Linked DNA regions of Nothobranchius furzeri. The protein of the gene in region 1 purifies or fractionates together with the protein of each later gene. This does not show direct contact. Links are inferred from orthologs where the notes say so. Each region holds a gene or a part of one and is shown on either strand. Other genes may lie near its edges.

Region 1 (4,521 bases):
ATACCGATATTGATGCTGATATATTGTCCATCCCTAGAATACGGTCATTCCCTTTAACAAGGATTATACAGTGCTGCAAAAACATATACTCCCTTACACATTTATTGTTTTAGGCATTCATTTATGAATTTATTCTACAAATTGCCATATCAGACACCGATGATGAGTAAAACGCAAAATGCTTTTCATGTCACGCAGCTGCTCTCCTCATATCCCAAATGGTCCCGATGGTTGTTGTCACTGCTTCTGCTGCATGCTCGCGTTCATTTTCGCTTTTGTTTTCGTCCTAACGGCTCACGCCATATTGTCTTTTTATTGTTTTTATAGATGGTGTTGGATACGTCTGTACGGGGAGTTAACCGAGGTTAACAGTCAAACCGGTTAATCCCTGCAACCCTAACCTCGAACGGATTAAATTATGGCGTACTTTGACGGAATAAAAATTTTAAAGGTGCATTATGTAGAAATGAAGTCAAAATTTTATCCTGTGCTTTTTGCCGGCAGTTGTCAAATTACAACTGTCGGCGCTGCGGTATTAGCTTGCAGTAGATATGGCACCCCCTCACTCACTGATGGTAAACAGTAGTTACGACCCTCCTTTTGTTTTGAATGGAGAAAAAGTGGCAATCCCCACAACCAGCTGGATATGAAATATGTTTCAGTGTAACCTTTCTTCCAAAATGACTGAAACATTAGACTCTTTTGGGACTTTCTCACTGTAAAATTCTTACTATATTCTTACACTTTTAAAATGTTTTAATTGTCTATGGACGCGCTGATCAGTGACGTCACTCATTGCAAACATGCTGATGATATGCTGACGTATTTGCAAAGTCCTGAAAAGGCTGATTTTGTACAGACACAACGGCTGAAAACACTGATCCATTGTGTTTTCCTGGAACTTCAATAGTGGAAACATGGCTATCGAGTACGCTAAATGATCCCACACAGCAGCAGATGGTGCCTTTGCTAGTTTAAGGTCAAATTCAACAATAAGAAAGAGATGAGACAAAAAAGCCTCTATGGGACAGTTCCGTAAAACATCTCTGGTGACCACACAAAGACCCATCTCACCGTCTCCAAAGAGCATCTTGATGATATTTTAGAAAGTGGAACACTTGTTTAATCAATGCATTTTTGTAGTAGTCTCTAGTACTAATAAATGACGAGTAAGTTGTTTGCAGGGGGAAGAAATATCCCAGTGCACCATTCTTCTGACCTAAAATTTGCCCACATCACAGCAGACCTTCTGATGGCAGGATTTGGAGTCTTTTTCCTGATATTTGGACATCTCACTCCGGATCGGACAACAGCAATGCAACTCGACCACTGATTTGCAACATAGACATTTTATCTCCACAAATAACACAAGGCTGGAGGAACTTCGGCTGTGTGGTGGCATTGCTAATGCTAAAGGTTAGCTTGAATTAGCTGAGAAGTTCTCTGCTGTTTCCTGGACACTAGAACAAAAAATTTACTGGACACTAATCCAACAACACCCAAGATGGGTGAGTCCATGAATGTTATTCAGTGTGACGTAGATCTGTCAGGCTTTTCTAATTCTAGTTTCACCGTCTATTTTCTATCAGAAGCTAATGCAGGAGAAAGGTGTGGGAGACTATTTTCATGTTCAGTCTGCATGAAAAACTCAGTAACCATAATCAGGAAAAACATATTTAAAATGGTTTTTCAGTCAACAGCATCTTTGAGACTTTTTTGAAAATATTCTCTGGAGTGGTGAGACTATTTTGGTGAAAAACTAACTTCAGAAACACATCAATATACCAACAGTCAGACACGGTGGTGGCAGAGTGATGGTCTGGGGCTGCTTCAGGACCTTGACCACTTACTGTAATTGATGGAACCATGACTTCAAACATGTCAACCCACTCGTTTGGCTGGAATAAAACAATGTCAAAAAAATGTGGTCTAGGAATCCTTCACAGCAATGTAAGCCTTGTTATTAGTTCTCACAGATGCTTGATGGATGTTTATGCAGCTAAGGGTGTTGATTGGTTGTTTGTTTCCTTAATAAATAAATTAAATCATCATTTGAAAACTGCTTTCTGTTTTTACTTTGATCATCTCTGGTATTTGTGTTGGAAGACATCGATAAGGATCCAAATGCTTTTTTCAGAGTGCTGAAGTTTGGGTATGTTGGTAGTTTGACAGCTTGAGATACTGAAAGGTACCCTCCTACAGCAGCAAAACTATAAAACATGTCCATTCAACTAATAAATCAACCAAAGGAATGAAACAGAATAGCATTCAATGTAGAGTCAGAAAACTACTTCTGATCACTCACTAGTAACATCTGATCGTAGACTAAAACACAAGACAATGAAAAATTCCCTTAAATAGTTACATATTTCACTTGCTCAGACGCTTTTACCCAAAGCGACTTGCAAAAAATTGTAAGTCGCTTTGGGTAAAAGCGTCTGCTAAGCACATAAGCATAAACATAAACAAACATATCCAGCTAACCTACAGGGTTATATCCAAGGATGCTACGTCACTTAGTCCTGTGTGGAGGTTATATTAGGCACTGAATAATTACAGTTTAACGAGAAACGCTTATTTCTGTTGTTGCAGGAAGTGGGCAGACGATCACCAGCCACGAGGTCGTGGATAAAAAAAAAATCTGAAGCATTAGTGGATGTTTTTAGCGCGGCGTTAGCTCTGGAGATAACTCCTGCCTCTTAACTTACGTGTCCAGGCGGATTTTCTTCAGAGCAACAGTTTCTCCGGTCACTTTATTCTTGGCTTTGTACACCACTCCATACGTCCCTTCTCCTATCTTCTCCACTTTCTGAAATGAGTCCATTTTGCTTACAAGAGCGGGACTGTTTAAAGTTTAGCTGCTTAGCAATACTGGTCTCTTTGTGTGCGCGCTAGCAGCAGCAGCGACAGCGGCTCGGTGGCTACAGAGGGGCGATGTTAAGGAGCAACGCGGGGACAAACCGACACTAACCGCCGCCCCGGCTCCCTTCGGCCAGTCCGGAAACAGCCGAGCGGGAGATAGGGGGTTCGTGTAGAAGATGAAACGCTCTCAGATCAAACGACAACACAAAAACAGGTATATGGGCATGTGTGCCCAGCCTCGATAGTAATTATGTGGATTAATTCAAAAGGGGAGCGCGACGGTCGCAGCTCAGTCCACAAAACTGAACCAACACAGCGGCGTTTCCCGCGTTGTAAGAGGAGCGTTCGTTTTTGACTTCATGATACACCGATTATTTCGAATGGGTGGCACTGTACTCTTTATTTTATTGCTTATCTTGCAGTGTTCTCACAGGGGACCGCTATGAATGAATCCAACGCTTTAGATTAGATAAAAATGTTCACAAAAGTACTTCTGGTGTTTGTTAAATTTAACGTGTTGTTAGAAATCACCAGAAGTTGGGATGAGACGGAGACACTAAATGAGCAGCCCTCACTGGTCACATGATCAAAATGGATGACGTACCCTGACGTCATCTTAGAGGGATGTGGAGTGCTTTTGTTTGTAAAAAATGTGTTTATAAAATTATTTTCTTGTCAATTAGATCTAATTTCACAAACATTAATTCCATTTTAGCCTACCATCATATAAGTTTAAAGTTGCCATTGTTAGTTTTTTAAACATTTAATTAATTTCTTTACCTTAGAACAGGAGTCCTCAACCAAGTTTGGTCCTGAGGTTTTTACAGTAGACGGGCCAGATGCACTCTAAAATAACTAAAAGCATTATTGTATCTTAATTTATCAATAATTTAAATGACTTTGTTTTCCACCTAAACTGTCTTCATTGTAGTTTTAGTTGTGGTTGGAGAATGTAAACAATTATTGGGGGGGGGGGGGGGGGGGGGGGGGGGGGCAAAGAATTGGGACTACAGCCCTGCACAGGCCTAAAATCTGAGCCCGTGTCCGCCCGGCCCGAGGGGGTGGAGCCCCAGCCCAAACCAGTCCGAAAAAGTTTTCAGGATTCTCTGGCCCAACCCGAGCCCGAGGCCGACTTTTTTTCTTTAACCTTTCATGATGTTTTAGCGTGATAGAAGGCTCAGCATTCTAATTATCTGTGGGAAGCGTTCCGTAGTAAAAAAAAAAAAAAAAAAAAAGAAAGGAAAGAAAGAAAAACAGCATTCAATGCAGCTTTTTTTTCTAACAGCGTATTTTTCGAGCAGCAGATGAAATTTACGAACACTATATTAATTGGATGCGTTTGTAAATTTTATCTGCTCTGAAAATGCGCTCTTGTGCAATTAGGAAAAAAAAAGCAGCATTCTAATTTTCTAACTGCAGAGCACATTTTCAGAAACACCCCCAATTAATATAGCGTTTGTAAATTTAATCTGCCACTCTGAAAATGCGCTCTCCAACCCAGTAGTGAATGCTGTATTTTTTTTTTACTGCAGAGCGAATTTATTAACAGAAAAATAGAATGCTGCCATTTTCATGAGAATAAACGAATGGTTTTTGACATATCAAAGTGGACATAAAATGGCATATTAGAATAGGGGCACATGTTTCAATCAGTAGTTT
Region 2 (3,815 bases), on another chromosome or scaffold:
AAGGAAACCATCAGGGTGGAATAAAAAAAAATTGACTGGGTTTTACTCTGTTGGACAGGATAGTAGTTCCCATGATTTTCTTTTTCCTGCACACTCGCATCTAGAGCTTCTCCCCCATGGTAGCTGCTTCTCTGTGCACGCTTGCTTGCCTCTGTCACTAGGTAAATTGTTCCTTGGCCTGTCTCTTCTCTCTCTTAGTCTCTGTTTCTTTTTGCTGTAGTTTGACAGTTTTCTGAAAGCACTTAGTCAGAGCAATGGAGTAGTCCTCCCACCTAATGGCACCTGTCAGGTGAGCCTCTGTCCCTCTCTTTCTGCTTTACTTGGTTTTCTTCACCCCTTTTAATGTAAAAACGTGTTTCTATTTTTTAATTTGCAACTTCTGCTCCATTTCCTTATTCTTGCATCACATGATAAACTTTGTCACATAGAAGTAGTCTTTCCTAGGCATTGCTTCTTTTAAACCCATCAAGAAAACTTTATACTGTATGTTGCACAAGTGTTTTCACTTTTTTGTCTCATAATTCATCTTAATAAAGTTTTTGGCGTTTCTTGTTAAATGCAAAATGTAGACATGCATCACTGGATTAACAAATGGTGTGCACGTGTGTGTGTGTGCGTGTGCTCATTTTTCAGTATTGCTTGCTTTTAAAAATAGTAATTTTCAATGTTGCATACACTGAGCTCATATTAAAATCATAGTTTCTAACCTAGTTAAATGTTTGGAACAGAAACTGTTGCAATGTCACTGTTGCCATTAGCTCTTGACAGTATAACAGTGTGTATTTGTGTGTGTGTGTTGTCGCAGATCTTTGCTGACATGGAGGCTGTGGGCTCTTCTGTTGCCCAGCTGCAGGAGGAGCCAAACAGCGAGCCTGTTAACCCCGCAAATGCTAACACTGCTACTAACTCTGAGTTTGTCAGTCACAACACTGAGCTGCAGGTGTGTGTGTGTGTGTGTGTGTGTGTCTCCTTTTATGCCCTGTTTCCACCTCTGCATTTTAAAACACATCTACCAGATTTACTTGCATCTCCATCAATATAAACCATCATGTGTTTATCAGGGGTGTTGATTACTTTACATAGTTTTTTCCCTTTTTTACATTTTAAGAGGAAGAATTAAAATGTTTTTTGACATGTTTTGTGTTCGTATTGTTAAATGTTATCATCTTTTCCTGTATCTATTTTTCTTTTTGCATTTTCTTTTCTATCCATATACAGGCCTTCTCTGACACCAATGGAAATGAGAGTTTAAAGGAGGAAAATAGGTGAGTTACCCCACTCAGATCTATCTCTGTTTTGTCACGATAATTCACATTTGATTTAAAGAAGATAGAAATTGATTGAGAGCTCTTGTAAAATGTTATCTGGGTTTCTTTTTGGATCTGGTTGTGTGTGTGTGTGTGTGTGTGTGTGTGTGTGTGTGTGTGTGTGTGTGTGTGTGTGTGTGTGTGTGTGTGTGTGTGTGTGTGTGTGTGTGTGTGTGTGTGTGTGTGTGTGTGTGTGTGTGTGTGTGTGTGTGTGTGTGTGTGTGTGTGTGTGTGTGTGTGTGCAGTTAAAATGTCCCATTTCTACCTATCTTGGATAAACTGGCACATTTTTAGCCCTAATCACACAGCTGCAGTGATTTCCTGTATTTTATCTCATTTTACTGTTTTTGGGAGTCACAAAAAGGGAAGGTCATCATGGAAAAGCTTAAGACTACATTAACTGTTTACAATAAATTGAAATACAACACCAAACTAACTTTATTTTAGCAGCACTTAATGGAAAGGGTTATTGACAACAGCCCCAACAGGCTTTAATTTCTCATTAATCCAGTTGATTTGATTTAAAGAGCCTTATTTTTGCTTGTGGTGTGAAGTGGTTGCTGTTGCTTTTCGGTTGGGTGTTTATGTGTGTCTCCTGTCCAGCAGACCGCTGTCTTCCACTGAGAGCCTGAGACAACTCTCCCAGCAGCTGAACGGTCTGGTCTCCGAGGTAAGCCGTTACACCCACCACTGTCCTCCTCTTTGTTATGCAGTGTTGGGATTTTATTACAAATACATCACCTCCTCTCAAGCAGTGTGTGTTGCATCTATTGGGAAGAAACTTCTCTCTTGTCCTTCCTTTTTTGATGACCTGAAGCAGACTGCTAGAGTTATCAGCCAGCTTATCTTCTCTGAACTTGTTTTTTGTTTTGTGACAATCAGAAGTACAAAATTTGCTTTTTGGTTTTGTTTTTAAAATGATTCAGATCATTGTCATTGTTACCAGTTCATATCTTACTGAGTTATTAGCCGAACTAATCACTGCTTTGCTGTGGCTTTTGGCTTGTAGCAGTGAATTTTTAAATGTTAATACTTATTTGTAAAATCACCTACGGTGGTGAAAGTTGGGCTGGGATGCAAATGAGGCCAGCTCAACCATGTTAGCCTACTCACACACTGATCACGTATAAATCATCCTTTTCTTGTTATTCCAGTCAACTGCTGCATACGTGAATGGAGAGAGTGCACCTTCAGTCAGTGAGAAAGAACTAGAGGTGAAAAGAAAACAAATTTCTTTTTCTTGATATTTCACCCTTGAGTTTTACTTGTTTGTTATTCCAGACGTTCTGGTCCCTGCCTGTATCTGTCTGTGGCTGTGCCACAGATACTGTTTCATTGTTACATGATAGTATCCTAATGCATGCATCAGTATCAGACTCCAGATTGGAGTTTTGTTTGTGTCACTTCTCATTGTGAAAATATTCTTTTATTCATCACCACCTATAGCAGTTCCATTGTTTGCTTTCATGTTAATCTTCTACATTTGAATATTTTTCTTGCTCCTGTGTTCTTTGTTTGACTTTAGTCACCACACTTTATCACTGTCTTTTTTTCTTTCCTTTTTGTTTCCCGGATGCATGCGTGCACGTGATAGAGTCGGAACCAGGAGCTGACAGCCGCCCTGGAATCTTGCAAGCTAACAAATTTTCAGCTCAATACCAACCTAGAGCAGCTGGTAAGAAGCTGTGTGTGTGTGCGTGTGTGTGCGTGCATGTTGTTAACCCTTTCCTCCCTTCTACAGTTATTTATTGTGACACACTTTGCATGCCATCATTTCTTTATTTTCTCATTTGCATCCTCTGCTCAGGTTTTTTTAAACTATTAATCCAAGCACCTGCAACACCAGCTGCCCTTTGAGTTCACATTTTGACCCTGACTGTCATTATCGTTTTGTTTTGGCATGAAAGTTGGGACTTGTTAAGCCAGCTTAGCCCTCTAATGACAATAGACTCAAAGTTTTGAACTGTTTTTTGTTTGTTGCACAGCAGTGTTGTTTCTAGCATGCAGATGAGATCTTTTGCAGTGTTTTATGATGTCTTTATGTTGAGACTGGGAAAGTATTTGTATTATTAAAGCCAAACTCCTAATTTGTCTGTTTGGCAGGTACAGCAATCCCAGGGACTCACAGATCAGCTACAGAAGGTTGGAGGATTTTCACACTCCTGCTAGAAACCTCATGTTTACTCCTAGATCATCTTTTTACCTTCTCGTCTTCTTGATGCTCACCTCCATCGTGTGCTGTTCTCTGCCTTCAGGAGCGAAAAGAATTTGAACAGAAATTTACGAAAGAGCAAGGAGCCATGCGGGAGCAATTGCAGGTGAATTCTCGTCGCAAAAAGGTTCTCTTGTTTTTGGCTGAATCGTTTTTTAGGATTCATGCGGTTGAGTCATAACAGGTCAAACTAGTATGGAGGTTATCTCTATTGTCAGTTGGTGCATTCATTTGTTATTGTTGTTTAAATGGAAAGAAGGCCTGTTTTCATCCTTTACATTCCAACTCTCCCATCC
Region 3 (4,356 bases), on another chromosome or scaffold:
ATTGTCTCACTATATACACACTATTTGCAGAGTGATGTTTTGCTGCTTAAACTCTGTTTAAGGTGCATTTTTGTCATAAGATGTAATGCCATATGTTTTGTTCTGTACTTTTGAACAACTCTGTTGGTCAATAAAGGGAGAAAACGAATTTCTCCACAGTAGGACAAAGGTACATCTACCGGTAATCTTAATAAAAACAGATTGGCGCACAGCAGTGACGTAATTAAAAGCACCGGTTAGATTAGCCGCGGCTAGTCTGTTCACGCCTAGAAATCCTAGACCCGCTCCAAACGAACAGGGGAATCATGTTAATGATTCCTAACTAAACCTTTCGACATAGAGATGTTTTGGTGCAGATAATGTCTTATTTCAAGGCTGCACCATGGGTGCCCGTCCGCACCCGTTATATGGATATACGCTGATGGCGATTTGCCGATGGATCTAAATACCCCGGAGAATCCAAGTAGCACCAAAGTTGTCAGCGTGAGTAAACAAACGTACTGCATGCTAGAAATTAAGTCCGGGTTGCAATAAATGGGAGTTTTCCTTTAAGCACATAAGCGTGAATATACAACTACGTGTCGGACTTGGTATGCTAATGAAGTTGGGCTGTGAAGCGCCTCCCAAATTCGCTGTTTATGTTTTTGTTTATTATTTGGCAGACAAAACTTGGATCGGAGACAACTCGCGTGGGAAATTGCAATGTAGCCATGCGGCATCTTCTTCTTCTGTTTGTCTGGGAGGCGGAGGCTTCTTTACGGCATCTGGCTGTCGTGCGTGTTGGTGTACTTGAAGAAGGCTGTGTATAATAGTCCATAATATCGATACCACAGGGATGGAATATCTAATTTAGATACCACTTTTAGTATCAATTTATATCTAGGTATCGATTTTTTTGACAACACTAGTGTGTGTGTGTGTGTGTGCGTGCGTGCGTGTGTGTGTGGATCCACTCCTGAATCCTGACGTCCAGCACCCACCTGTAGCACAGAGAGCCACGAAGGTCTGGGCGTGTTTCCTGAGGATCTGCTTTGTGGACAAATGGATCTTCAGTTTGGACAGGAAGTGCTCGATGAAGTCATGAGGCGTGACTGAAGCCAGGTCCCACTTCAGCTTGTTCAGAACCAACAGCTCCATCTGCTGTGGGTGGACCAGAACAACCAATCAGACGTTAACTCAGCGTCTGCCTGCTGCTGCACCTCTCGGCCACTAGGGGTCAGTGTAGACCACCAGACAAGCCTGTCAGACGCTCCAGAAGAACACTATTTGTTCCATCTCCCACAACCTTCTGGTGGGATGGACACACGTGAGGAGAGGACAACCTTGCAGGTGAAGTGTGACGTGACCTTTGTTCTGGTTTTTGACACCTCAAAAAAGATGCTAGTGATGAAGATGAGGTTGATCTCCTCTTCTTCCTCACTGGCTTCTTTTCATGCTGGTGTTTCTGTCTCTCTCAGGCTCTCCTGTTTACTTTATTTTCTATATTAGTATTTATTGTTGGCTCTTGTGAAGAGCCTCGTGATTCTTTATCTTGATGTTTGCTAAATGAGAAACTTTTTCTTCTTCTAAACACCTGATCTGCTGGTGTGCCTGCAGCAGCCTCCCACACGGTCCTAAAGCCCTTACCAGCAGCTCTCCGGGCTGGACCGAGTTGTCCGTGTAGATGCAGAGCTTCTCCGCCGTTAACGGAACCGTCTCCTTCATCTTGGACGCCAGGAACATGCACGCGGCTCCCAGCAGTTGCAGGCGGCTCTTCCTGCTGGACTCCACGGACAGGAACCGGTCCAGGTAGTTCATGGCCAGAGGAAAGACCTCCTCCTCACACTTCTGCTCCTCACACACCTGAAGGGAGAGGAGCGGACAGGTGAGTCCTCCACACACGCACTGTCTCACACACACACACGCACGCACACACACATTCTCTCTATCTCACACACGCACACACACACTTTAATCACCAGAACTCGGTACGTTCGGACACACCGGCCCCTCGGGACCTGTTGGGTTTGGGCACGAGGCTCCTTCGCGTGCTCGGTTCGGGTCCGGACCAGACCGGTCCAGGCAGCTTGTAAAATGAATAAAAATGACCAGAATAGGACCGAGTCTTTCTGCAGACGCGTGAGAACACCGGAGACACTGAGCCGAACCTTCAGACCCATTTGGTACCCTTTCATCCTTTAAAACTGTTTTTTTTTTTTGGTCTGCCATCCTCAGCGGAGCCGTTCGGAACCAAGACAGTTTTAGACCCAGTGGAACTGAAGTTGGTCTGGTTTCTGTGGAGCCTGGTGGGTCCGGCTCGGTTCTGGCTGATGTCTGACTGGTTTTAACGGACTTTAAATCCTATCTCGTCGGTGGCAAAGATGGCGCACTGTCCGGACCTGCTGGGCCGGACTGCATACGTGTACATTACTGTGAATTCTGGAGTAAATCCGGATCGGTTCGACCTCACTGCCTTCGGTACGGCAGTCCAGACCGGGTCCAAACCGGAGCTGGATGGGGCAGCCGGATCAGAACCGGAACCATTCCCAGGGACAATCAAAACTCACCTCCAGCATCCAGGTCGCTAGGATCTTCCTCATTTTAGGAGCTATTTCCTTTTGGACGCACTTGAAGTAGTTCGGAGCCGGCAGGTAGTTCTCCTCGGCCCGCAGCATGGTTCGGAGGACCCGGTCATTCAACAGGTTCACGTCCTGGTAGGCTCTCCGGATGGAGTCCACTTCGCAGCACAGCAGCTGCTCATCCATGGTTTGGCTCGGAACACAGAGAGAACCGGTTCGGTACAAGTGTCCTGCTAGAACCGGCCCGGTGTCTTTTCTATCTGGTATTTTTGAATCCCGGTGTCAGGGCTGCTCCGTGTGCTGCTGCCCCTCTGGTGTGCGCGAGTCCTCTGAGGTCCGGACCGCCTCGCTCTGGCGAACAAAACCTCCGCGCGCACCTCCCTGCGCGCGCGTGTCTGTACGCCCACACACAAACGGCTTTTTCGCTTGGGAACAAGTAAAGGCGGGTGACGTAGGCTGTTGTTAAGGGGCGGGGCCGCGGTGGGAGGAGGTGAGATCAAAGAGAAGCGGTCTGCAAGCGCGCGAGCAGGAAGAGCCCTCCTCCCTCTAGCCCTAGGAGGAGGTGGGAGGTCTGGGACCGGGCCTCCGGGCCCAACAGGCGGCAGGGGGCGGCAGTGACCCTCCCCCTTTGTCCTGCTGCCGGTTCGGTTCGGTGTGAATGAACAGCAGAGGACACAAGGAGGAGGGGGGAGTAACTCATTCATCTCACCTTATCACGACCCAAAACTAGACCGAGTACTGGTCCAACTCTGTAGTTCTGGTACTGAGTTCCACAGAGGACCCTGGTTCTGTTCAGTTCACACCTACTGGTGGAGTTTTGGTTCTACTGGATTCTGCTAGGTTCCCTGTGAGCCCTACTGGGTTCAGATCAGCAGGAACCACATGGTCCAGAACATGTGACATCACTAAAATGAGACCTCCATTCAGAACCCTAACCCTACTAGATCCACACACACACACACACACACACACACACACACACACACACACACACACACACACACACACACACACACACACACACACACACACGCGCACACACACACACACACACACACACACACACACACACACACACACACACACACACACACACACACACACACACACACACACACACAGGGGTTGGACCAATGGGAGGACCTGCTGTTACCAGGCAGAATCCTGTTTTGGGTGATGGTGGTTGACCCAGTCCAAGTGTGAACTGGATCTTTAGACACAGATGTTCCTCTTTGAGCTGCTTTATTCAGCCAGTAGAACATATTAGTGGTGAGAGAGCTTGTTGGATCAGAACCAACTTGTTCGTGGACACAGCTGCTGTGTAAACTCAGAAGATCCAAGTCTAGTTTCAATTTGAGTCAGAGCCTTTGAGCATTCCTGGAATTCCTCTCTGGCTGCTGGATTCACTACCGTAATGCCTGAATAGAGCCTCCTCTCTGGCCACTGTCCTCAAGGCTCACTTTGTTGTTGTCAGGGTAAAGAAAACAACACAACTCCAAACAGAAACACATCATAATAAATTTAATAACAATAATACATTTTATTGTGCTTTATGTGATGACAATCTCAAAACAACAGTCTCAAAACACTCACAAAAACGTACAATGATGAAAACAGAAGTTTACACACTTTCCTGACTGCGAGTGAAGCGTCCCGGGTCGCTCTGACCAGAACCTCTCACTTTCACATTTTACTTTGGAATCTTGTTAAGATTCATATTCTGATTCATTGAAATATTGAGATGTTATGAGATCCTTTCTGATTCGCATGTGAGCTGAGATAAAACACAATCAGCCCA
Region 4 (4,318 bases), on another chromosome or scaffold:
CCTGGTGTTACTCTGTAGACATGTCTCGTAAAATAAATATATTATGTGGTTTAATAATTGAATTTAAATCAGAAACATTCTTGAAGATGTTGTCCGGCACATTTTTAATGTTTTAATGTTTATTTTCACACAGGATTTCACCAGATAGGTAGGAATCTTAGTTACTGAAATATTACATTTTAGCTCCATCTCTATGAAACTGAGTAGGAGCCATTTTCGTGTTTGATGATCGGTTTGAATCAGGTTAGAATCCGCTGTTCTGATGCAGTTCCCTGATCCACCAGCAGATGGCCCTCTGCTGGTGGAATAGAGAAACCACTGGTGGAGAACATTTGGTTCTGTGTGTGCGCGCGTGATCATTCTGATTATTTTAATGTTACTGCTCGGGTATTTTGTCTCGCGTATATAAAAACAAGTTAAAATAAACTGATGAAATGTCAGAGTCGTGCTTCTCTGGCATAAATAATTCAAATATCGCCTCAAAGGACTGAACTGCGCATGCCCCACAGGTATCACCCGCAACCATAATTGTAGTTTTCAACAGTAGACCTTTCTGCGGGATGCAGATGATGCATTCAGTGAAAGATTTTGAGCTGCGAAATCATAAAGATGCGCTTGCCCGCTGCGTTGGCCTGTTTGAATTCATTAAAATGTTTAAAAAGAAGAAATTTAACCCGTTTTAATTCGTAAAATCAAATTGTTCTCCAAATTGGGCAATCTGTTGTCTCTAACCTACAAAATGAATGGGTTCCTTTTATTTTGAAAGACAACTAAAATTGATGTTTTTTGGTGGTGGTTTGTGTGTGTGTGTGTGTGTGTGTGTGTGTGTGTGTGTGTGTGTGTATATACTTGTCTTTATAGGTTTAAGTGGACAAATTTGAACTATAACCTGTACTGTGTAGACATTTTTACATTGTGGGGATTTTTTGCTGGTCCACACAATGTGGAGCACCCTAAAACTTGTTTTTAGAGGTATGGCATTAGTTAGGGATAGGGTATGGGTAGGCATAGTGGAGTAACTAACATGGAGCAGGGTGTCAATGAAGGGCCACACAAACATAAAAACAAGCGTGTGTGCGTGCGCGTGCGTGCGTGAGTGTGTTTGTAAAACATCAAACCAGTAGAGCTCGCCTTTATTTGTCACTTGATTATTTTCTTGTGCAATTAATAATATTAATAAAACATTATTAAATAGGTTTCGGTTTCTTTCTTTTTCAGAGTAATTCAGCAAGTAAAGTAAAATATAGATATTAAGAAAGTAAAATAAGATATAGAATAATAGTGTTAATGAAAGAGAATGTTGACACAATTATTTTGGGCATACTGTAATGTGTCATTCTAAGCGTATTCGTGAGATTTCATCACGCAAGCTGATTTTCCGACGGACCCTGAACGCATCCTTGTTCTGATCTTTGTGAGGAGCAGCGAAACGATCGCAGTTAGCCACGGCCAGCAGGAGCTCCGTTCGGCGGAACACAGCGGAGGATACCGAGCCTGGACGCGATTAAAACACCTTTCCAGCGATTACACGATCCCCACAACGAACTAAGAATGGTAAGAAGACGTTTAAGGGCTGCGATTGTTCGCTGGGTGGATCTTTTGTACGGAGCTTAGCTGGAGGTCTAGCTGGCTAATGCTAAACGGCTAGCGAACTGTTTTCCTGACTCATTATCGAACAGAAGCCATTTTACAGCAGGCAGCTAGAGAGTCCTGGGCGCTGCTGTTGGCTCGGCGGCGACGGTGCCGGTCTTTAATAATGCTCCCGGGTACTAACGCTTTACCTTAACCAGTTTTGGGACGGAAACAAACGCTGTAGTTGGATTAAAAGCTCGTCCACCCAACGGCCAGGCAGCTGTGCTAGGTGGCTATCTGAAAAAGCTAAGACTTCGCAGTTGCGTAGCAGCGTCGAACGCCAGCCTGGTGAGATGAAATCCCAACAATAGTCTCATAAAACCTAAAACTTAATGTTGGTTTGAGCTTCATGTGACAAAAGAGTGTCAGGGAAGTAGATTTAATCCGAAGAGAAGCCCTGGCCCTCTGGCTACAAGAGACTGGATGTTTCTGGAGAACCTGGAAAATCTTAAATCCCACATTTTCTATCCCGGAGAGCAGAGGAGGCTTGGAATGATGATTTGGTTTATTATTTTTGTTCCACAAATGATCGCTGCTCTTACACGTTACACCAAAAAATACAACCTAGAGATCAATCTGACTCGAACACAATCTTTCCAATAGTTCTTAATAATCTGGTGGATTTTTCTGTGTAGTCTATAAACGAAGAACTATCCATGGGTTATATTTGTTTTTATTTAAATGTTGTGGAGTTTCTGATGAAGAGTCAGCGATCACACAAGATGCGTCAAAATACAAATAAACAAAACAAGGAAATGGCTTTAAAATAAGTGGTTATCAGTATTTGTGATTGGTTCGTTTTTCCTTCAAAGTAAAAGCTTGGTTTTCTGTCACCTTTCATATCTGTTTAAAATGAGAAAAAATCAGAATTTATTTATTTGTTAAGGTTTGTTAAGTGATTAGATGTAACCAGTAACAGCAAGACAACCAAGGCACAGATTAAACCACCACACCTGTGTTTTTGAGAGATTATTTCATCGGAATAATCCAGAACTTGTCTTTGATGTTCAGCCGCCACAATAAGAAATTTTTATTTATTTCTCTTAGATTTAAAACTGCAGTTTAAACTAGTTTCCCTAATCCCACTGTTCCCAGCAGGAATTCTGTGCCAGGAACCCCTGGTTAGTTTTGTTGACAGCAGGGACTTTGGATAAAAACACCTTCTGTACTGACGCCACAGCTTTCATACTAAAGTGGACTAAACTTTACTTATACAGAAGAACAACCTTTATTCATAAAGATCCGCCCACTTTAATAATGATGATGATAGCTGATAAACATTTAATAAATAGGAGGTGAGGCATAGATTAACTTTTATTCTCTAAGGAGCTTTAATCCTTGTTTTTATTTAATTTAATGATCATTTAAGGTTTTACATTCAGTCCAGTTTGGTTCCGGATCTGGTCTCAGATGGTTCCTACAGACACACAAGCTGGTTGAGGTTCTTCTAATCCCAGGATTATAATCTGTGTTAATGAAAAACTGGTAAACACTTTAAACTGAGTTCCTGGAGAGAACATTAGGTCTTCTGCAGAGACCTGGATTGGGGCAGATCTGGACCAGGGTCTGGGACGGACTACTATGTGTGTGTGAGCTTTAATCTCACTCAATGCACCAGAGAGGAGAGAATCAGATCAGATCCGTTCGGACCAGAACCTCTGGCCATAAGAACAGCTTCTTCCCGTCTGCTGTTGGACTCGTGAACGACAATCCTAGGGTTACCCACTCCCGTGGTGTGGTTCCAGTCACCTGACATGATGTTGTTTGTACCTGAGCTGATCTGCTCTGATTAGTACCTACACAGTAGTAGGGCTGTCACGGTAACCGCAAAAATGAAATATCGCGATATGAAGAAGCCCACCGCGCTGCATCATGGGCCACCGCGATTACTGAACTTGGTTCAACTCAATGATGCATGTTGAGAAGGATGGCTGCACTGGTATCAAAGCAAAACGTTACTTCGCTCCTTTGGGAGCACTTTGGTTTTCAGTACGTCAGCTGCTGCGCAGCCAGAGTCCTTGGCCGAGACAGAGCTGCCACCAGCGGCAAAAATAAATAAATAAATAAACTAGGGCTGCAACAAACGATTATTTGGATAATCGATTAATCGGATGGGGTCTCGACACGATTAATCGGATTACATGGGGAAATTTTTAAAAACTGCTAGGGAAACGTTATTTCTCTCCTTCCTTCACTTTATTTAACACAACATTATTAGAAAACAGTTCAATAGCAGAAAAATAACATGCCATCACCTAAATTGTCTTATAAGGTGTATAGACAGAGACCCTAAGCTACATCTATCTGTGACCTAAAATGCTTGGTCCAAGTTAAACAGCTTAAGGGCAATTCTCATCTGTTTTGTTTGATCTCATCTGTTGACATTTATTTTAAATGTAATTAAACATAGGCTGTGAATTTATCAAAATTGATCACTATTTCCAAAAATGACTGAAAAAATACCAAATAAAACAAAAGTAAATGAATGCCATCCTACTTGTGATGATGCCCTGGGCAACTGCCATAAAGTCACATCAAGAAATGCTGCTGATCATTCCAATGATCCCAAATAGACTCACATTAGGCCACATGAAAGCAACTGAACCCAAAAATATATGAACCAGTATATAACTGCACTCTCACACAACACGCCTGCAGCAACAGTTAGGACTCCTCCCTCCCTTTT
Region 5 (4,328 bases), on another chromosome or scaffold:
GATATTTTTTGACAGACACTCAGGGGGTGGGGAACACTGGTCTTCAAGGGCTGCTATACAGCATGTTTTAGTTGTTTCTCTGGTTCACAACTTCTGATTCAGTGGTTCAATCACCTGTTCACCAGCTCATTGAGCTCAGTAGACGCCTGTTAATCATCTGCTGGTTAAAATTGGGTGTGCTGAAGCAGGAAAACAACAAAAACATGCAGGATAACGGCCCTCTGGGTTCTAATTGAATCAACAAGCATCTGCAATTCCTGAAGAATCAAACTCAAGAATTACTCCAGCCGTCATGGGTGTGCCAACCATTTCCTGCAAAGCGAAACAATGTATTGTGACTTATCACATGAAACGGGGAGGAGAAGATCCATGCTCCCCTTATGCACCAGGATCATGACTGTTGAGAAGCCCAGAAAAGGTCAGGACAATCCTAAAATGTTTTCTTCCATTGCTAAACAAGCGACTTTTAGGCTTGAAAAGTGGCGACCTAAAGTTTATTCTTCAGGAATAAAGCTTCCGCTGGTGTTGGCAGGAACAAGCGTAACTGATGGGAAACAACAGTGAGCCTAATGAAGTGGGACACGACTTTAACAGATGACCGCCACACAATCCAGCAGAGATTCCCGATGAGGAGAGAGGGAAATGGTTATTGTGCGGTCACTCCAACTGATGTCTCTCACTGTCAAAGCCAAGACTTCAAAGATTACATCCACTCTGAGAAGTTGCACTGGTCCTTGTCCATATGTTATCTTCATTTAAATAAAAACAAACATTGGGCATGGGGCTAAACAAATCTACATTAGAAGGAAGGATTGGTTAGAGGCAACAGTAGTTCTGTATTAACCAAACTGAAACAAAATGTGTACCCCCCCCCCCCCCCATTGTTTTAAAACCGTAGTAGGCAAGCACTGCTACAAGATTGCTGAATGTTTGTTTAAAGCAGAAACATTATTCTATAAATAATGCAAAACAAGGATTTGCTAAAACGTGATCCAGAAGATGTGCATATTTACACAGTTCATGTCCAAACTAGACAACAAGTGTGCATAAGTGTACACAAACACCGGAAACAGAGCATTTTCTAATAGAATACACATCTAACCTAATCTGATGAGAAAGTGAAATACTGAAGTGCATTTTATCTTGTTTTAGTTCACTACTTCAAATTAATTGTTGCTTAAAAAGCTGTAACCAATTACTAAAGCAGACGTTTGTATAAAATAATCATAAAAACCATACGGGTATCTCACACACAGATCTGTTATGTTCTATTCTAATATGTGGAAATATTGGCATCCTAACCTTTATGTGACAATGAAACAGCTTGCATTTATTTAACTTATTCTACTTATTTATGTTTTTATTATCTGTTATGGACCTTCTTGTGTCTTTAATAAAGTGACATATCTGTACTGTATAAAATAATCATAAAACCATACAGGTGAGAAGAGATCCGTTTTACTTCTTTAAAATAATCATGTTGGTGATTTTTTTGTTAGTTTACTATCATGTTACATGGTGTGAGGGACCAGTGGTGAAGCATGAGGCCTCACAGGAATACTTTAGAAAAATAGGGTTCATTTTTTATCTTTTGATTATCAACACAAGAACTTAATTTAACAAAGATAAATGCTGAGCTCATAAGAGGTCAAATAACAGAACTCAGGCAAAAATGTGAGCAAAGCAACTGGCTACACAAACAAACTTAACTGACCTCCCAAGAACAGACACACGGGGTATATATATAATCAAACCAATACAAACAATGGGGGTCACCTAAACAATACAACACTCACAATAAACACAATCAGTGTAGTCCAGCTGTTTGGTAAACTAAACATCAAAGAAGAGACTAATATTTACTAATTTAAATACAAATACCTAATCAAGAAAACAAAAGCCAATTTTACTCAAGCATACACTAATTTCACCTATCCATCAGGAACTGGTGGCGCAGTCCAATTAGCTTGCAGATATTTAACTGCTTGGAGCCCTGGCCACCATCTTTGTTTGGCCACTCCCAGAGATCACAGCAGGTCAATCGACTTGTTTAAGTGTGGCCTGATGTTGGGCCATCACACATGGTTTGTTTGTTTAACAAGTCTCTTCAATAAAAAACAAAAACTACTTATGCAAACAAATTGTTTCATCACATCACTATCAGCAGGTAAGTCAGTCAGGTGTGTACTATAAATTAGAGTCAAATGAGCTAAAATATTTCACTTTGATGTACAACTTAGAAAATAACGAGTGTAGTCGTGTTTCAGGGATACTCATTCTACAGAGATTAGGAAACAGACACGCTGACCCAAAAGCATCACACAAAGCGTGTACACTCACGAGTCTCCCAGAAAATCGTGAAATGTGATCCTTCCGACCGTGGTGTCGGCCTCGAAGTTTGGCACAACGTCGCCGAGCAGAAGTCCAGGCATGGTTCGGCTCTAAACACAACAGAAGGAAGGGAGTGAGTCAGCCTAACAACGCCACGCGCCTCACGCTGCTCTGTTGCTTATGAACAGAACCCGGATAAGGGCGGGGCTAAGGCAAGATTCTGACCAATCAGAAAGCAAAAGAAAGACACGTATTGTCGTCGTCCCCCCCCCCCCCCCCCCAAAAAATTAGATTAACTAAAAATAAGTACTGAAATATTAAATAAAAATTACATTAAAAGGGTGAAACATAAAAATCCCGCACCAAGAAAACCAACCCTACCGTTGAAAAATAATTATCTGTTATTGTCCCTCCCCGTTCAGGCGATAGACTCTTTGCCTTTTCCTACTCAATTTCCCAAAAGTCTTTGTGACAAGAACAACAAATATGGCGGTTCGGTTTGGCGTACCTGGACGTGATAGGAATTGTCAAATGAACAACAGATGAATTAACGAAGTGACAACCCTCAGAACAGTATAGTACATTTATTTATTTGGTTCGGATACATAACGTCACATCCTCCTGCCAGCATCGGTGGATTATTCGATAAAATGCCCTCTCCTAAAGCTAAAAACCCCGGTCGCAGCGGAGGAAGCCCGGGGCTCTCCGGCAGCTCCTACGAGTTTTTCTCGTCGACGAAGCAGACGGGCCGCTCTTCACCGTCTCACCTTCAGCGACAGGGTTCCGACCCGACCACCGCCCGCCTTCGAGCCTCGGAGAGCCCCTCTCGGCGCCGGGGCTCCAACTCCTCCACGGGCTCGGCGAGCGGTCAGGGGCCACCTGAGGAGGACGGCATACGGCTCAACCCCTCCCTGATCCGCGTTTCGCTCAGCTCCTTGCTCGCCATCGACTTGTGGTTGTCCAAGCGGCTGGGTGTGTGTGCCTGCGAGGACTCGTCCTGGGGCAGTGTGCGCCCCTTAATGAAACTGATAGAGGTGTCAGGTCATGGCATCCCGTGGCTGGCCGGTGCCGCATACTGTCTATATAAAAGCGACAGTGCTGCAGGACAAGAAGTCATGCTCAATCTCCTCATGGGTAAAGCTACTGTCTGTTATGTGTTCTTTATGTTGCTGCTGCATGTAAACAGCACAGATACAACACCATTCAAACACGATCCAGTTATTCCTGCTACACACAATCAGAATCTAATCATCTTCTGCATCTGATCTCTCCTCCCTTTGTAACTAATCTGACTTATGTTTTTTGTCGTTATCGATGCTTCCCTACTAACACAGGTCCGTTGCAACAACGTAGTCACAACGTATTTTCTGACACCTTGTGATGTTGCAGGAAAGTCGCATGTTAACGCATTATTCCCAGCTTGATTGCCATTTATCAACCTCATACGTCACTTTGACCAGATCTAGATTGCTACATATGTGGTATTTCTTACAATGGACTGATGGTACTTTCAACACTGACAAAACACAATCAAAACTTTATTACAGAGGAAGAAAAAGACAGTTTATTAATTTTAATAATCATGGCTGTGTTTTCAGAAGGAGTTTAGGTCAGTTATTACAAAGTCAGAAATGGTCAACACCATGTTTCTGCACCAATGTTTTCCTTTCATTACTGTTGTGATTATTCACCATTCTTGCACCATTTTTTAACCTTAACCTAGCCGATTGTCAGACAGCCAATATGGTTGGAAATAGCCTGGCTGACCGCCATTCCCTGGTTGTTTTGGATCCCAGGAGAGGTCCGTTAGTCCACATATTACCAAAAGTAGACTTATGAAACTACTTATAAAACTAAAGTACTGGCCATGATTCATAAGCTTCAGTTAATCTCATTTTGTCTATCATTTAATTATGCAGAGAAATGTATTATTTCTTCCTGGGGATCCTAGCCCGCTTTTCATGGACCCGTAAGGAATCTATGTGTAAAAGGTGTGA
Region 6 (4,390 bases), on another chromosome or scaffold:
CTACAGTGTGGCTCAAGGTCCTTCAGACAAGACCTGCTATTGTCTGTGTGGTTCTCCGAGTTTCCAAACACCAGATATGAGATGGAAAATCCCAGAAGGAAAAAAAAAGTTATTATTCTTCTACTACTTCAGTGTTCAGCTTCAACACTGATATTCAAACAGTTAATAATCTGATGGCAACGTACTTCAAATTAGCCTGGAGAGGAAAACAACGCCTGTGAGTCACGTTTTTTTATTGTTCCAGATGTCAAGTAGTTTGGTCATGACTCATGTTCAAACTTCAGAAGCACCAAAATCTCCACAACATAGAACAGAACCAACCAGATTATAGGCTAGAAGAGTTTCTCACCTTCCAGTTCAGTTGTGGACGAGCTCTAGGCATGAACATGCCATCAAACATGTGAGAAAAGGGTCCATGTCCTGCAAAAAGAGGACAACCTTTAACTGTGATTACTGATGATTAACCACAGAAACGCCTAATGGACACAAGATGATGGAGTGAGACACTTACACTTCCTGTTTTCTATTACATAAAAGTCATTGAAAGTCTGTTGACTTTAAAAATAAAAAGGGGTTTGACTTCCAGATCGTAAAGATGTGAATAAAAACTCTAAAAGCTCAACTCGTCTCTGCGTGTGAAGAGCATCACTCACCCAGATCGTGGCAGAGTCCAGCGATCTGCACACACAGGATGTCCCGACGAGAGATGAGGAGTTCAGGCTGCCTCTCGTTCAGAGCTTGGACAAGTTGTCCAGCCAAGTACCCGACCCTGTATCAGCACACAGCAAGACAATCTGCCTCACACATGATATACAACCAAATCACACTGAGATTAACTTAGAACAGGACTTTCTGTGTCACCTGTGACCTTCTAGATAAATAATGTTAACATAGTTTTACAATAAATGTCACAGATGAGTTATAAACCATGCCAAAATGACAAATACATATGATGTACCCAATACTGTGTTCAAAGCGGTTGTGGGACGCTCCGGGAAACACGTAGTACGTCCCACCAAGCTGCTTGATGTATCGAAGCCTCTGAAACTGAAGGGTGTCGATGAATTTAATGAGGAGTGGATGTAAGTCCATGTGACCGTGGATGGGATCATTGAACACCTGGTGGCAAACAAACAGGTTTAGGAGGCAAAATAAAGGATAAGGGACATATTTGTGCCAATAAGTAAAAGTCATGATGACACAGAGTTCAATTATCCAGATAGAAACACTCACTCATAACTTTATTCAAACATATTTTATGTTTAATGTTGTTTTATACTTCCTTGGCAAAATGTGCAAGACATGACCCTGTATGAACGAGAAAACCCTATAGAGGTAAATACATGTTTGAGTTACAACTCTTTAAAAATGTTAAACCAGCTAAACAAACAAACAAATGCATTTAAATACAGTAAACTACTTTTGATTACACTAATTATGAATTCCCGCTCTCAGCAAGGCAGCATTCAGGTCACTGTCATGTTTTACAATCTATTTTGCATTTAGCTGTAAATAAAGTGCACATTCATCTCATCTTTGATGCCTTTAAAGTTTGTTTTGTGGGAAACTCTTTACCTTGTTAGTTTCTATCTGCCACAGCTTCCTGAGGCTGTGCAAGACCTGCAGGCGGTCACCCAAGGTCCTGAAATGAGGAAGATGATGTTGGGGGGTGGGGGTAAGAAAATAACCTGCTTATAATGAGCCGTAGAGAGCATATATCACATCCATGTTACAGTGCATTTGGGTACTTTATTAGATGGTAAACTCACTTTATGCCAATCTTCTCCAGGTCTTCATCCTTTAGGTACCTCAGGCCAACACCTGTGATGTTTTGGTCTTCACAACAAAACAACAGATAAAAATGTCACCCGGGCGCCGTGTGGTTTACTAACACGGTCCTTTTAATTTAAATGCTTCAACTTGTCAAATCAGAAAACAAACCTCTGAATGTTTTCTCCCATCGTCTCAGACCTTCGTTTCGCAGGTACCGACATGTTTCTTCCACTCCCCAAAGAAGGAAGTCTGAGTCCGGCTGCAGGACCGCAGACCTTCTCCTCTCCGGCGTTTTGAAGCCCTCGTCGGTCGAATCAATCGGTCGCTTCCGAGATGCCATGCTGGGATAAAACAGTTGACGGTTAATCGTTAAAAAGCGAATAAAAGCGGCGAACAAATTGAGCAGAAAACGTCTCTTGCGTACACAAGAAAAACAGCTGATCTGTCGGTTCAGAGCTGAAAGCGTCAGACCCGGGAAAACTGCGAGAGTGCCGAGTTTTGTGTTTCCCGGAACAGAAAAGCTATGAATAAAAAGGAGCGTTTCCGGTTTATCATTTCAAAGTAAATCTCCACAAACCCAATGTCAAGTAAAAGTTTGGCTATGCTAAAAATACTAACACAGTTTATTTTTTTTAAGTTGTCGTATAATTTACTTTAATATCTGTGACAGATCTGACAGTACCATTAATCAGGACACTGAAAGGCAACCTCTAGTTGAAAACATGAACGAACATTAAAATCTTTGTTTATATAAAATTTTATTTTTTTAATTAAATTCTTTTAAGATCCATTTTACCCCGAACTGTACAATCTACTAGATGCTTAAACATAGCAAAACTGCTTTGCATATAATGTGTTTGTTAAAATGGGAGGTGTCTATCTCAAAAATAAAACAGGCTAGGTTACACCTTGTGCTCTATTCAGAACATTACTGTCTAATTAATATTTGCTGGTTTCAGGCATGTTTAGCTTGAACAACTTGCTTAAACTTTAAACATCGATCAAATCTACTCAGAGTTTCTATCACAAACCCACTTTTTAATTTTCTCCATTTACTGATGGATAATTAAATTCTTTACTACAGAATTGTCCTTCACAACATCATGCTTATCAACCCTAGCCATGAAAGTGGGATTTTATATCTTATATATTTTTATTATTGATTTAATTTTGGCAATTTTTGCTAAACACTTCCGGTTTGGGGTGGTACAAAAAAAAACTGCTGTCAATGCACCTCGGAAATGTCGTGTTTAAATAGTTTCATTTTCACACTTTTAAACGCGTTCATAACGGCATTGGGGAAAAATGAACACACATTATGTTAGAGAAATGTAGTATTTTACACAATTCCCCACTGAAGTGTAAAGTAGTGTTCATGTTTACTGGGAAGGCTGTTTTCCATCTGGTGTTTCTTACCAGTGATGGGAAAGTCCCAGTTCGCTCTGCTGTCATCAGTAAATTAAACCAGTGGGACCAACATTTTAGGTATTATATTTCATTACAGTGAAACAGTTTTAAACGTACAGCACTGCCTACATGTCATCTTCATCTGTCGTGTCCTCTGTGATGGTATGACCAGGGTATTTTACTTTCTTGGTGACACGAATCACAGTCTGACAGATGAAAATTTGGAAACTTCATTTGCTTTTCCTCCTTGGCACAATAAATCATAACCACACTTTTAGCTGCATTATACACAATTTTGTGTTCTACTCCACAGTCAGAGCAAATGTACAATATCTGCTGTAGACCAGCTGTGCTCGAAATTAGAACCACTAAATCATCTGCATACATCAGATGATTTACAGGACCACCAGCTGCACAGCCAGTCCTGCTGGGCTTTAACCTCACTGATAAGTCATCCATGTACAGGTTCAAAAGAAGAGGAGATAGAATGCCTTCTTATCTGACTCCATTACTGACCTTAAATGGCTCTGAGATACTATTACCTTATTTTATCTGTACCATTTGTTGACCATACCGATAAACCAGGATGCGTACAGTGTATCTTGGGATACCTCTTTGCAGCAGCTTCATGAAGTTTCCTGTGGTTAACTTTATCAAATGCCTTGGATGCATCTATGAAGCACAATAAAGACGGAGGAATTTTTATATCTGGTCACAATCTCCTTTAGAGCACATATACACACGTCTGTACCAAGCTCAGACTTAAAGCCAAACTGATTATCTGTGATTTTTAAGGTGTTATTAATTCTGTCCAGCAGAAAGAATGTTCAGAGTATGCTAGCTTGAGCAATGGGCCTCTAGTTATTATACATGTTACCAACTCTCCCACCCTTGTCTTTCATATGATTGTATTATTTTGTGTTACACAATTATATTGATCTTAAATAAAAAAAATTTTTGTAAAATCCTTCAAAATATCTAGATAAACTGCTCTGACAAATGGCACTATGACAAGTTATGTGTACAGAAGTTTGACCGACAACATCAAACAGACACAAGATGGCACAATTGCTCAACACTTTTTATTCTGTGAGCCTCCCAGTACGGATCCAGTAAATGGGTCCTTTGCCAGATCAGAAGATCAGCTGAGTCTTGTGTCTTTTATATTTTGCCATCTGATTGATAATTTAACAATGAACTTGGAGGGATT
Region 7 (4,603 bases), on another chromosome or scaffold:
CACCTGAATGTCATATCATCATCAACATGTGAGATATTCAGTGAAGATGTTACTAACATTTGCATTAGGATGCCTGGAATCCACGACTAGGACAGCGTACTAGACCATGACATAACTAGCAATTTATGCTAAAAAAAATAGACGAGAAAGCAAAATTAAAACATCAAACTCTCACTGAAACTTTGAAATATGACTAGCAGTGAAACATTAAGATGTCTGGCTTTAAATCATGTGAAAAGTCACAACTTTTTACAGACTGAGTGATAATCTGTGTGACTTTTAAGTGCAAAATTGGTCGAATACCCCTTTAGGTGACCAGGTGCTCACAGTCCACATTATTACAAAACTCTCTCTTGAAAAAGTTTAAACATCCGCATGCACGCACACACAGCAGTGAAAGATATGGGCTGTTGTTGGAGTCGTCTGTGACATTCTTGATGCTTTGTTGAACCCAGACTCTTTGCTGGTCCAGCTCGTGTTCCCGGACAGCCAAGTCGTCTAGCTCAGCCTTTAGATCAATCAGCTTATCTGCAATCTCCCTGGTGTTGCAGCCAGGGCCGACACCCCTGAAACACATTGGTAAGCACGTGGTCATTCACATTCAACAGGCAAAGAAAACTCGCCGTCAACCTTTTTCCCAGCATAAACGATGAACTTGTAGCCAAAACAAGCTGCAGATAGATTCATCTCACGTCTAACTCAGGTAGAAGACATGCTAATCAGCCATGCTCATAGTCATTTCCCTTACGGCATTGTTTTATGTATGTAGGACATTAAAGAGCAAGTCACCCCCAAATCAACTTATTTTCTGATAAACTACATAAATGCGTGTCTAATCGTGCTGCAGACACGTGTAGTCAATAGTTTTGCACTTTAGTGCATTTTAGTTCAAATTTAAATTTTCTGCCTAAAACTGTCAGTGTTGTGCCGTTGTCAGGTAAAAACTCTGCACTGTATTTGAATTTAAATCTGTCATCGCTATTGGCTAAGAGGTACCCTAGAATGTTAGCTGGTTCCATATGATGTCACAATGTCGTTGTGATCCTGTGTGTGTTTGTTAGCGGCTCCACCCTCTCGGTCTGCTAGGCAACAGCATTTGTTGCATTTTTCAAACAGGAAGTGGGAGGGGAGTAAGAATCTGGTAGGGGGTGACTTGCTCTTTAAGTGTTAAGGACTGCTGCAAAACCTCAAAGTCATAAATATCCTCAAAGTATTGGCATATGATATGTTAGTATGATTACATATAACAAACATCACTACAGTTTAAAAATTGAAAGGTGAGGCTCAGACAATCGTGTTCAGAAAACTGCAGCCGATTCAGACGTAATCCCTGTTACATAAGACAATGATGAAAACATGAAGGCTTGATGTTTCATGAAAACATGAAACATGAAGGCTAAGAACAATTTATTACAGACTGCAGTTATAAATTCTAGTCTTTTCATGAAGCCATACATACAAATAAAACTTACTTCCATTGAATACTGTTCTTAGATTTCTTCTCTATAAGACCAATTCCTTCCAGGACATTAGTAATGTCGTATATACGTCGTTTTTGCCGCACTGCCAAGGTATCTGCTGCCTGAAAGAAAAAGGACAAATACAATGAATAAAATATGAATAACAAACACACATTTGGCTCTTTTGCACAGAAAATGTCATGGCTGAGTGTAAAATACACAAAAAAGATATATTTTACAAACCATCTGGGTGTGACATCTACACTTCCTGCCCAGCCAAGTCTTTGGGTCTTAGGAGATAAAAACAATTTGCAAGGAGCTGATAAGTCTAAGCTTTTTCAAATAGCTGGACTTAAGTCAGTTGGACTGAACGAAAGAGAAAGAAAAACATCTGAGCGTCTGGTATTTTATGATCTGCAGAGTGCAATGCAACCATAAGTGCCCGCAGCCAGGAAGCTAGTTTATGAAATTATGAAGTCAAGTTAATCTAAACACCACCTGGTTTACTAGACTTTGGCTCAGAGGTGGCACTGTGTTTATAAATGTTTCTGTTTTGGAGCATTACTAATCTGACAAGTCTGAGGTATCTGAATTCAGATGTTTGTCAGGACATGTGTATTAGTAGTACTGCATCAAATAAGTAGGTTAGTTCTCAGCATCTTGACATTACTGAGGAGGCATATCCACTACTTCTACGTGTTTAAACACAAAGATTTGCACGTTTTTGGAATCGGACTTGATAAAAACCAATAAGGAGCTATGCTGCGTTTGTGTACCTAATGGAAGTGGGCAGGTCTCATTAAAAAAACAACACATTTAAGATATTTCCTAAAACTAACGCAGTGGGGGTGCTTATCGTTCAGAGAGAAAAGGCCATACCCATCAGAAAAAAGAAACTGCTCAAGTGTGAAGATGCCACACTATGTTACTAGCAACAAAAGCTGACCCACTTTTGAGAGTTTGAATCTGCAGGGGGCAGAGCGAGTCTGAAAAGTTGGCCGGTGTTGTTTTCAAAGTTAATTTCACGTCTGACTGAACGGTTCGTGTCTATGGGACGCTAACACACCGAGTCACCAAAATAAACAAAGTTAGAGTATCACAAATGTTCAAATACTGTAAACCCCGAAGCTAACAGGTTACATCCATTCAAATTAGCATGACAGAGCTAAGCTAAGCTAATATGCTAGCGAAAGTAACGACAGCGGGTAGGCTCTGTATGACATGTGCTAGCTGACAACAAAGACTCCGGGTTGAATGCTCACAGCTTTCAAATCCAGCACTCCGTCTTTCGCCTCCTGTAGCAAGGTCACGAATTTGGTCGTGAGCAGTCCCAGGCTCTTTTCATGCCTGCTTGGGGTCTGTGGCTGCAGCGAATCTCCCACCGCTCCCGGGTCGCCTCGGTTACTAGCCGACTCCAGCTCCATCACTCGGGACAAGCTCCGTACTTCCCCCCGCTTCCCCGACCAGTTCCAACCCGCGAGCACAGGAGAGCTCCACCGCCGGAGTCGAGTACACAGCAGCCCGAGATTGCGTGGTGGTGTTTTTTTAATCCGTGTGGATTAGATTAGAAAATAGTTGCCCAAATGTATCTGAACACGATGAGTGCTGTAATTCAATGAGCAGGCAGTCGGTGGTAGAGAGCCGTTGGCCACGCGAGGTATGACGGGACGGTTCAATCGTACAAGGGAGTGTCTGAGAATACTCACGTTGTTTAGAAGACGTGTACAAAAATAAAATAGTGGCTGCTTAATTTAAAACAAAAGTTCATTAAAATTAGCTGGTAAATATTTTATATTACAGATGAGTTGTATCAGAATATGTTTGCATTGTCTTTACGTATTGGTTGCATCCATTAAAATTATGAATTATACGTATTTATTTAATACTACAATTTATGTGCTTACCCTTATCTACCCAAACACGCACACGAACAGACGCGCACTTTTACGTGCGCAAAAAACCCCACTAAAGTCTGCACGTTCTTAGTAGTTCATTTGCATGCAAATTAATTGATTATGTTTCGTTATTATTTACTGTAATTTTGTTTGTTAAATTTTTACTTTATTCTTCGTGTCAGTTGGACCAAGAGATGAGCAAGACTCAAGTCAAGGCCCGGTCATTTGTTTTTCATCACATCTACGAATTATTTACACAAAACCCAGCTTTAAACGTCCAGGAAGGCATATTTTTGTTATGGAGATGTGACAAGCTGTCATAAATGAAAAGAAAAATATCATACACGGGTGTTGCCATATTACTTAAACAATGCATTGGTACATCTGCTAGTTACAAAAGAATGAATCATATTCCATTAATTATTTTCTTATCCTATAATAACCAAGTTATTTTGCAGTATGGTTTTGACACACACTAGTTGTCAACCTTCCGTACTTTAGCTTTGTGTACAGTGTATAATTATTGTCTTTCCAGAACTGCGCTGCTCTGGGCGGCTGCATGTTGGAGTTGACTATGTGTAAGTTTTGCCTTTTCTTGGGCATTTTTCTTCTAGTTTCTCAAAAAAAACTGTATTTTTTGGACACTTTACTTTTCTGTTTCTGGTGCTGTGAAGCTTGGAGGATTTTTACTGCTATGTTTTAGCTTTTTTCACTTTTTGAGCATTTGTTATGATGCGTAACTATGGCAACAAATGGTTTACAATCAGGAGCAGCTGATTAACATTGGAAAGGCTGAAATATTACCTCAACTGAAGCCACAAATCCCAAATGAGCTAAACGCAAGAAGCGTGGGTGCAGAGCGGGAGCAAAACGGAGACAGAGAAAGAGGAAATTCAAACCATCTCTTCCATCGATCATAATGGGCGATGTGAGATCACTGGCCAACAAGATGGAGGAACTCCAAGCCCTTTCAAGGACTCAGCCAGAGTGTCGGCAGTTTCGAAACCACTGGAGGAGATAATGCAAAGAAGGATTCTCCAGAGAATCAAGAAAATTATGGACAACCCTGAGCATTCTCTTCACAAGACTGTCCGACAACAGAAGAGTGTCTTCAGTCAGAGGCTTCTTCAGTTTGGCTGCAACACTGACCGCTACTGGAGATCCTTCCTGCCAACAGCCATTGTAATATACAACAACTCTTTGATGACTTGATTATTATTATTATTCTGAGCTACAGCAATCAATTTC

What was found.
Region 2: the proteins of cdk2 (region 1) and golga2 purify together in Homo sapiens (affinity purification with mass spectrometry; 4 studies listed by BioGRID and IntAct, counting the BioPlex papers as one, with this or other methods). This does not show direct contact. The link is inferred for Nothobranchius furzeri from reciprocal best matches to the Homo sapiens genes CDK2 and GOLGA2.
Region 3: the proteins of cdk2 (region 1) and ccnd1 purify together in Homo sapiens (affinity purification with western blotting; 12 studies listed by BioGRID and IntAct, counting the BioPlex papers as one, with this or other methods). This does not show direct contact. The link is inferred for Nothobranchius furzeri from reciprocal best matches to the Homo sapiens genes CDK2 and CCND1.
Region 4: the proteins of cdk2 (region 1) and cullin-1 purify together in Homo sapiens (affinity purification with mass spectrometry; 4 studies listed by BioGRID and IntAct, counting the BioPlex papers as one, with this or other methods). This does not show direct contact. The link is inferred for Nothobranchius furzeri from reciprocal best matches to the Homo sapiens genes CDK2 and CUL1.
Region 5: the proteins of cdk2 (region 1) and prdx6 purify together in Homo sapiens (affinity purification with mass spectrometry; 3 studies listed by BioGRID, with this or other methods). This does not show direct contact. The link is inferred for Nothobranchius furzeri from reciprocal best matches to the Homo sapiens genes CDK2 and PRDX6.
Region 6: the proteins of cdk2 (region 1) and samhd1 purify together in Homo sapiens (affinity purification with mass spectrometry; 3 studies listed by BioGRID and IntAct, counting the BioPlex papers as one, with this or other methods). This does not show direct contact. The link is inferred for Nothobranchius furzeri from reciprocal best matches to the Homo sapiens genes CDK2 and SAMHD1.
Region 7: the proteins of cdk2 (region 1) and e2f4 purify together in Homo sapiens (affinity purification with mass spectrometry; 4 studies listed by BioGRID and IntAct, with this or other methods). This does not show direct contact. The link is inferred for Nothobranchius furzeri from reciprocal best matches to the Homo sapiens genes CDK2 and E2F4.

Annotation. Positions count from the first base shown.
Region 1 is NC_091743.1:49,088,187-49,092,707, forward strand, and holds the start of cdk2 (cyclin-dependent kinase 2), read right to left. Parts: upstream 2,967-4,521; 5' UTR 2,825-2,966; coding exon 2,709-2,824; intron 1-2,708. UniProt on the Homo sapiens protein: Serine/threonine-protein kinase involved in the control of the cell cycle; essential for meiosis, but dispensable for mitosis. Phosphorylates CABLES1, CTNNB1, CDK2AP2, ERCC6, NBN, USP37, p53/TP53, NPM1, CDK7, RB1, BRCA2, MYC, NPAT, EZH2.
Region 2 is NC_091746.1:54,879,630-54,883,444, reverse strand, and holds part of golga2 (golgin subfamily A member 2), read left to right. Parts: intron 1-220; coding exon 221-289; intron 290-805; coding exon 806-940; intron 941-1,218; coding exon 1,219-1,265; intron 1,266-1,910; coding exon 1,911-1,977; intron 1,978-2,461; coding exon 2,462-2,521; intron 2,522-2,901; coding exon 2,902-2,982; intron 2,983-3,410; coding exon 3,411-3,449; intron 3,450-3,562; coding exon 3,563-3,625; intron 3,626-3,815. UniProt on the Homo sapiens protein: Peripheral membrane component of the cis-Golgi stack that acts as a membrane skeleton that maintains the structure of the Golgi apparatus, and as a vesicle thether that facilitates vesicle fusion to the Golgi membrane.
Region 3 is NC_091749.1:21,576,180-21,580,535, reverse strand, and holds the start of ccnd1 (G1/S-specific cyclin-D1), read right to left. Parts: upstream 2,922-4,356; 5' UTR 2,745-2,921; coding exon 2,547-2,744; intron 1,843-2,546; coding exon 1,627-1,842; intron 1,141-1,626; coding exon 981-1,140; intron 1-980. UniProt on the Homo sapiens protein: Regulatory component of the cyclin D1-CDK4 (DC) complex that phosphorylates and inhibits members of the retinoblastoma (RB) protein family including RB1 and regulates the cell-cycle during G(1)/S transition.
Region 4 is NC_091747.1:63,530,761-63,535,078, forward strand, and holds the start of cullin-1, read left to right. Parts: upstream 1-1,415; 5' UTR 1,416-1,554; intron 1,555-4,318. UniProt on the Homo sapiens protein: Core component of multiple cullin-RING-based SCF (SKP1-CUL1-F-box protein) E3 ubiquitin-protein ligase complexes, which mediate the ubiquitination of proteins involved in cell cycle progression, signal transduction and transcription.
Region 5 is NC_091748.1:46,872,299-46,876,626, reverse strand, and holds the start of prdx6 (peroxiredoxin-6), read right to left. Parts: upstream 2,816-4,328; intron 2,442-2,815; 5' UTR 2,433-2,441; coding exon 2,341-2,432; intron 1-2,340. Other genes in the region: polyisoprenoid diphosphate/phosphate phosphohydrolase PLPP6, read left to right, coding at 2,982-3,465. UniProt on the Homo sapiens protein: Thiol-specific peroxidase that catalyzes the reduction of hydrogen peroxide and organic hydroperoxides to water and alcohols, respectively. Can reduce H(2)O(2) and short chain organic, fatty acid, and phospholipid hydroperoxides.
Region 6 is NC_091755.1:60,847,778-60,852,167, forward strand, and holds the start of samhd1 (deoxynucleoside triphosphate triphosphohydrolase SAMHD1), read right to left. Parts: upstream 3,060-4,390; 5' UTR 2,114-3,059; coding exon 1,942-2,113; intron 1,837-1,941; coding exon 1,770-1,836; intron 1,643-1,769; coding exon 1,576-1,642; intron 1,120-1,575; coding exon 959-1,119; intron 770-958; coding exon 654-769; intron 421-653; coding exon 350-420; intron 1-349.
Region 7 is NC_091744.1:86,782,907-86,787,509, forward strand, and holds the start of e2f4 (transcription factor E2F4), read right to left. Parts: upstream 3,019-4,603; 5' UTR 2,885-3,018; coding exon 2,723-2,884; intron 1,583-2,722; coding exon 1,473-1,582; intron 567-1,472; coding exon 405-566; intron 1-404. UniProt on the Homo sapiens protein: Transcription activator that binds DNA cooperatively with DP proteins through the E2 recognition site, 5'-TTTC[CG]CGC-3' found in the promoter region of a number of genes whose products are involved in cell cycle regulation or in DNA replication.